Oryctolagus cuniculus: one gene and its partner. The protein of the gene in region 2 purifies or fractionates together with the protein of the main gene of each other region. This does not show direct contact. Links are inferred from orthologs where the notes say so. Each region holds a gene or a part of one and is shown on either strand. Other genes may lie near its edges. The genes, in order: DYNC1I1 and NDEL1.

Region 1 (3,815 bases), on a different chromosome or scaffold from region 2:
GTGACATCACCAGAAATCCCAGCAGCACTGCCCATCAACCTGGGTTCTCTGTTGCCGACTCCTTTTTTCACCTTTCTTACATCAAATCAATAGTCAGTTTCTGTGGTTTTTCTCTCAAAATGGTTCTCAATCCATCAACTTCTCTCCACCCAGAGCTACAGGCCTGTGTCACTCTCATCTCTCCCCTGGACCACTGCCCCGTCCTCCCAGATGCCCTTTGCTTCTTGCTCTCAAACACAGCAAGGATTACCTTTCACAACACACATAATGCAGGGGCCTTTATCAGACATGAAAACTTCAAAGGCTCCAAAAACCAACCCACCACCCTCCCCGCCTTGCAAAACACAACACAAAATCCAAACAACCCAAGTTGCACATCTTATGTTTTGATAGGTACATAGGTCAATGAGTAAGTACTACAAAGACCCAGAAGGTTGACACGGGGTTGATGAGTGGGAAAGCACTGAGACAGAGACAAGGAAGGGGAGGTTGAGGGTGGGTTCCTGTAGGTGAAGGAGAATTTCAGATTCAACTTTGATTTTTTTTTTATAATCAGAATATTGCCAAACATAACCCATGTAATCAAAAATAAGAAACAGACTGAGAAAGTCTTGACTACTGCTGGGGCAGTCTGGGCTCACCACCGGATTGGGATTGTAGGATTCCCAACATCAGGTCACGCAGAAGAGCTGATGCCTACAACTCACTCAGGGCCTGAGACACCACCCTCTCCCCGGTATTTTACCCAGGAATTTCACTCGAGTATTCTTACCTTTGTGGTCCACAGCTTGACAGTCCAGTCAAATGACGATGTAACAAACAGGTGAGAGAAATCGATTGGTCCCACTGCCATGTGGCAGTTAATTCCCGTCACTGGCCCTTGGTGACCTTCAAAGACCTCACCAATGCCTGCCTTGCTGCACAAAAAACACATAGGAGAATTTCAGCCACCTTGGCAAAGTCATGGTTGCCTTAGAGAAGCAACTTCCTTTCTGAGCATGACTTCATCATCATTTAGATCAGCAGCCATACACCACCACCACCACCACCCCTCCCACGGTGATCTTTAGACAAGGAAGTTGTCTGCAAGTATGATACATTATTTTTGGTGATTAAGAAAAACCACAGGGGGAAATATAATCTTTTTAACTTTCAGCATTTAATATTTACTTTTATCATCTAATAATTTCCCAGGAGTTCCTCAAATCCTATCACTACCAATGCAGCTATTTGGATAGAAACAAATACACTTAGACCTCGGAGGCTGTTACCTAAGAAGACTATCATATTCTTGAGATGGCATTTTTCATCATGTTCCATTTTAACTGCTTTTGGTGATCCCATCTGCTCTAAAACTCCACACATTCTTGGAGAAATAATTTGTTCTTTCAAGGAAATTCCTTCAGTAGACAGATCTCAAAAAGGCAACACTTTGAGGAAACTTTTGTCATGTTCAACTAATATACATAATCTGATGTCATAAAATATGGAGAAAATGATATATTCTCTTCACTGAGAACTGAAGAGAGATTTGCAAACTCACTGATAAATCCATAAGGGCAGGTGCCTTTCTTGTTGCCAAGTGTCTACACAACGAACGCTCAAGAAAAATTTGTTGAATGAAATGGCATGACAAGGGGTGAGCTATGCCTTCCCCTTTTAGAAGGGTATTTGAGAAATAGCAACACACATTTTTAAAGTTACCTATTTCCAATTTTTAACAAAGCTGGGATTATTTCCAGACTTCTATTATCACATATATGTCTGCATACAAGCACATACAATTTGGAAAATTTGAGAGCATACCAAAATACCATGTTTTAAAGATTCATGTCCAAGTTATAAACATAACAAAGATGAAGGGATTGTAGAATCTCAATATTATGCCTCCACAAGTAAAAATGAATTCAGTTGTTAAAACATTTAGACCACTTAAATTATTAAAACATGTTGAGCACCAATAAATGTCAATGTGCTAAGTAAAATTTAGAATCATGAGCAAAGTGCTACAGCCTGTGTTCCACGTAACAGACACTCAAAAATTGTGCCCAATGAAACTGCCAACAGCAGCTCTACACGTCATCATTTAAATTTGTTCTAATGAACACAAGGAGTGGATCTTTGAAGTGGCCCCTGGTGAGACTCCACTTGCTCTTAACAGCATCCTGAAAAGGTTTATAGGGTGCAAAATGTGGACCTTGTTTAATTTATGGAAGTGGATTTGCACCTTCTCAACATTAGGTCAAAGACAGAAATGCCCCCCTCTCCCTGTAGCCCTATCTGACCCATTTAAAATGTCGACAAAGCTAATGTCTGCTACTCTGTGGCTTTGCCAACATCTGTATTTTACATTTTAGATGAGTAGACCAACGTAGAAAGCACAACCAAGCTAGCTGTAAAGGGAGCTGTGCTGCATGCCACGGGGATCTTTCTTTTGAGCCCTAGTGCCTATTCTGATTGTGCTTCAAAAGGACAGAGTCATGAAACAAAAATTTGCTAATGTGAATATTTCACGTGATGCCTAAGTAAAATATCTGAAAAGTATCAGTGAGTGTGTTGCAACTTCACAGAGAGTTGAGGATCTGAGCAATATCCCAGAGTAAGTCAATAGAAACTAGGCTCTAGTGATTCTTTAAGAGTTATTACATTTTTAAAATGATTTGAAAGGCAGAGTAATGGTCAGGGGGGTGCATGGGGAGAAAGATCGTTCACTTGCTGGTTTACTTCCCAAATGACTCAAAGAACCAGGGCTGGCCAGGAGCTTCTCCATGGTCTCCCACACAGGTGGCAGGAGCCCAAGGACTTTGGCCAACATTTTCTACTTTTCCAGGTGCATTAGCAGGAAGCTGGATCAGAGGCAGGGCAAAGCCTCGACTCAAACCAGCAGTCGGATGTGGGAAGCCAGCATTGCAAGTGGCAGCTTAGCCACTGCATCACAACCCGGCCCTGCCCTACTGATTCTAACCCATGTGTAGCTAGAGCCGCGACTCCATGTTTGGCCCACCGCCTTCTCCGCACCTTTTGTGCCACTAACAAGTATTTAACACCACTTGTGTTAAATATGTGTGTGTTTATCTGTCCCACTGTCATCAGTTTCTTGAGGACAGGAACCAGGTTTAAGTGATCTTTGCTTCACATCATCTAGTAATGTCTTTTGTAAGAGGGGAGCAGATGTTTGCATGAATGAAACATATCAGGTCTTTCTGTGTGTTGATAAAACACTAATGTGTGGTTTTAGCCAGCCTTTATAAAGTACTGAGGCCAGGCATGGAACGGTGAGGCCTATCTTCCCAAGTCATCTGATCATGACCACGTGAGCAGGTAGTACCACTTGTTTCCTCATGCATTACAGCAGGAACCTCGCAGCTTGTATTGCCACGATGGAAACAATCATGTAGCGGAACCACAAAGGCTTCTGCAAATCACAAAAAACACGGATGTGAACGTGGGACCTGCGGTTCCTCATCGAGTCTAAATCAGCTGGGATGAGCCCAAGAGATGAAAAAAAAAATCAATTGAACAAGAACTACTAAAGTGAAAGAGAAATCAATCCCCACTATGAACACACTGAACTTTTCCAAAGGGGAGGCCAGCTGTTCAGTCTTGCATCTGCTTTTACAATCTAGTCCAAACTATTGGATTCCACTTTACTGCCCCTTTTTCCTGGGCCATTTGCTCATCTCTCAATCAAGACAGAGTTCTTACTGTTTGGAAGCTGCATGGTGGTTTGTGTCTCTCACACTGTTCTAGCTTTCCCGAGTGGGAGGAAAGGATCCCAACAGCCCTGTCTATAGTATTCCAATACTGTGCCTGTA
Region 2 (3,915 bases):
CTCAAGTACTTGGGTCCCTGCCACCCATGTGGGAGACCTGGATGGAGCGCCCAGCTTCCAGTTTTCTCCAATGCAGGCATTTTAGGGAGCGAACCAGCAGATGGGAAATCAATCTCTCTCTCTCTCTCTCTCTCTCATACACAGAGAGAGAGAGAGAGAGGGAGTAAGTAATCAGTTTTAAAGTAGGACCTGAAAGAGAGAGGATTCGTGCAAGAGAGTGAGAACTGATTCCTAAGATGATGTTTAGGGTGTCCCAGGACAATAGTATGCAGTAGGACTGGGGGCAGCTAGTCCAGACTGGCGTGATGGGACGAGGCTCCCACGGAGATGTCTCCAAGAGAAAAAAGACAGAAGCTGAGAGATTATCTGATGTGTCAGATCAAATTGACAGGAATTTAATAGCTCTTTTGGAGAGGAGTCAGTGACATGTGTCATAAAAACTAAGGCAACTATCAGCTCCAGGGAAACAAATAGACAAAAGAAAGGGAACGTCATCATCATAATTTATATAGCACCGAGAAAACTTAATACAGTCACAGCGTAACAAACACATATAACATAAGCACAAATACTGACTTAACCAAATTGGTGTTATGCCATATCAGGAGGATGGGGGGACAGTAATGTGGGCAGGGTGAGAGTTTTATACCCTTGCCTTTTACAATAAGAAACCAATAGATCATGATTAACACAGAAAAATAAAGAAATAGCCACATAGGCACTCTATTTGGAAAGAAAAGCAACTAAAAATTTCAAAATATTTGCCTCTGGTAGGGAGAGCCTGGAAGTGGAGGGGTGGGACGTGGAGATGCTGTTTTTCATTGCAAGCTCTGTGTTGCTTTCACAGAGGTAGACGTTGGATTTAAAATAAATGAACCGATAGGGCTTTTCTTAAGGGAGTCTGAACAAATGAGTCAAAAGCGTATCAATGGGGCCAGCGCTGTGGCATAACAGATAAAGCCGCTGCCTGCAGTGCCAGCATCCCATATGGGTGCCAGTTCAAAACCCAGCTGCTCCACTTCGATCCAGCTCTCTGCTATGGTCTGGGAAAGCAGTAGAAGATGGCCCAAGTCCTTGGGTCCCAGTACCCACATGGAGATCTGGAAGAAGCTCCTGGCTCCTGGCTTTGGATTGGCTCAGCTCTGGCCATTGTGGCCATTTGGGGAGCAAACCAGTGGATGGAAGAACTCTCTCTCTCTCTGCCTCTGCCTCTCTGTAACTCTGCCTTTCAAATAAATAAATAAATTTTTTTTTTTTTTTTTTTTGACAGGCAGAGTGGACAGAGAGAGAGACAGAGAGAGAAAGGTCTTCCTTTTTGCCGTTGGTTCACCCTCCAATGGCCGCCGCTGCAGCCGGCGCACCGCGCTGATCCTGGCAGGAGCCAGGAGCCAGGTGCTTTTCCTGGTCTCCCATGGGGTGCAGGGCCCAAGCACCTGGGCCATCCTCCACTGCACTCCCTGGCCATAGCAGAGAGCTGGCCTGGAAGAGGGGCAACCGGGACAGAATCCGGCGCCCCAACCGGGACTCGAACCCGGTGTGCCGGCGCCGCAAGGTGGAGGATTAGCCTATTGAGCCACGGCGCCGGCTCAAATAAATCTTTAAAAAATAATTCCTCATGTAAGGCTAAAAGTCTGTATCCCAAAGTCTTCATTTTTGGGGTACAGATATTCCCCAGTTCTCTGTACTGTATTGTTCCCATTTTTATCAACTATCAGGGAAAAAATATATCTATATATATACTTCCATTTAGAAAATGAAATAAAAGTTACTGTGAGCCCTGAAGAATATATTCTTACAGTTTACAAAACCCCCTCACATTTTCCTGCTTCAGCACCACAAAAACCCAGTGAAACCAGGTGTGTTCCACTTTGCTGATGACAGCCCAGGTTCAGAAGGAAGTATCTGGTCCACAAGCCACCAAGCCAGCCAGCCACGGAGCCAAGGCTCAGTCGCAAGCCCCTCTGTGAGCCAGCACTGTGAGATCACCGTGCAGCACACCAACAGTGGCCCTGCCAGCTCCCCATCACCCATCCCAGCCCAAGGAGCTCCCTCCACAACGCCACAAAAAACAAGTCAAGGTGATCAGAAGCCTAGGAGGATCAGAAAGACACCAAAGCAAACCCCTGTTGTCCACAGGGACACAAACAACTTCACAGACTGACCTTGGCCTCCAACAACCCCCCCAACCACCCACATCCCGAAGGCAGAGGGGGTCCTCAGACACCAGGTCCCCTCCTCCGATGTCTCCCGAGCCAGTGTTCTCCTGACCCAGACCTTGTCCAATCAGCCCCCACCTCCCACTCCCCACCATCCCAAGCTACCTTGTCCTGGGTCCCGGAGCCTTGGCCGCTCACATCCGCAGCAGCCGCAAGGCTTGCGCTGCACCGGCTGAAACAAAGGAGAAGTCAACAGGAAGAGTGAGAATCACCGACCCACAACAGAGACGCAGGACAGGAAGTGGGCGAGAGCCAGGAAGGCTGGGGCCTGCTGTCTCCAAGTGAGGCAACCCCGCCAGGCCCATTGCTCAGTGGGGGGTTGAGCAAGACTGTGGTGCTGCAAGAAATACGGGTCCTGGTTCCTGAGCCAGGCCTTCCACGGCAGGCAGGGGAGCCCCTGGTCTCCCAAGCAAATGCCCGGGCTCTCCCCCACTTTCTGTAAGAGAAGGCGATGAGGGCAGGGCAATGGTGTTTCTATCTCTGTGGTGGCCCCGGCACAGAACCAGTGCAGCCCCGAGCATCAGAGAAACGGCCTGTAAGTCAGACAGAGCCCCGACCTACCTCGTAGCTGAGAGAACAGAAGCGAGTGGCTTTGCCTCTCTGCATCTCATTTTCCCCATCTATAAAACGGAGATAATTCCAGGACTGACCTCAGGGCGTCGTTCAGCGCTTTGTGAGACAGCATGAGTAACCGGCTTCATAGGAGGCAAATTAGTCCCCTTAGTTGTCAGGGGTTGTCCTCTTTCTGCCCCTTTTCCAAACCTGACGCCCTCCCTAAGTCTTAGAGCACCTGGTCTGAAGAGCACCTGCTCCCCCACCCCCACCCCCAGCCACCTGTAGCCTCCACAATGGTCGTAGCCCTCACGTGTCAGTCTCACGCTCCACAAGCAGCACCAGCTGTAAGAACTGTGACTGCAAGCAAATGTGAAAGGAACAGGCTAATAATAGTTACTCAACAAATGCCTGTCAAGGGGCTGGCGCCGTGGCACTTCCTGAGGCACCAGCATCCCGTATGGGTGTTGGTTCAAGTCCAGGCTGCTCTATTTCCCACCCAGCTCCCTGCTAATGCACCTGGGACAGCAGCAGAGGATGGTCCAAGTGCTTGGGTCCCTGCCACCCACATGGGAGACTTGACAGAGCTCCTGGCTTCAGCCTGGATGCAACCATTTGGGAAGTGAACAGCAGATGGGAGATTCTCTCTGTCTCTGTCTGTCTCCTCTTTCTCTCTCTCAACTCTGACTTTCAAATAAATAAATCTTTGAGGAAAAAGGGGGTAGGAGAAGAACTGCTTTTGAGGTCCTTCACTGAGAACGCCTTTCCCAAGGTGGGGATCTTACCTAGGGTCACCCAGGGAAGGTAGGAGCTGCCGGGGGTCTGTTGCTGGATCCCCAGGAACACCCCGCAAAGCACCGGAAGTCATCCCACAGGTGTTTGTGAACCTTAGCGATGTTGTAGAAACAACACCTGGGTAAAGAATGTGGGAAACCTCGGGCACCTGGGCTGAGGGATCCAAGACAGAGGGTGGAGGTCTCCCAGGCAAAGCCCCACACAGAGACGGGGGCAGGATGACCCTCGGCTCCTCTTAACTCCTCCCATCTTCCCCAGAGCCCGGAAAGATGGTGGGGGTGTGTGTGTGCTGAAAGCCCTGGATCTCCTGGAGGGCTGTTCCCGCCTTCGCCTCCCACCAGCTGTAACCCTC

What was found.
Region 1: the proteins of NDEL1 (region 2) and DYNC1I1 purify together in Homo sapiens (affinity purification with western blotting; 3 studies listed by BioGRID and IntAct, with this or other methods). This does not show direct contact. The link is inferred for Oryctolagus cuniculus from reciprocal best matches to the Homo sapiens genes NDEL1 and DYNC1I1.

The regions. Positions count from the first base shown.
Region 1 is NC_091447.1:40,174,668-40,178,482, forward strand, and holds part of DYNC1I1 (cytoplasmic dynein 1 intermediate chain 1), read right to left. Parts: intron 918-3,815; coding exon 773-917; intron 1-772. UniProt on the Homo sapiens protein: Acts as one of several non-catalytic accessory components of the cytoplasmic dynein 1 complex that are thought to be involved in linking dynein to cargos and to adapter proteins that regulate dynein function.
Region 2 is NC_091448.1:52,861,545-52,865,459, reverse strand, and holds the start of NDEL1 (nuclear distribution protein nudE-like 1), read right to left. Parts: upstream 2,520-3,915; 5' UTR 2,322-2,519; intron 1-2,321. UniProt on the Homo sapiens protein: Required for organization of the cellular microtubule array and microtubule anchoring at the centrosome. May regulate microtubule organization at least in part by targeting the microtubule severing protein KATNA1 to the centrosome.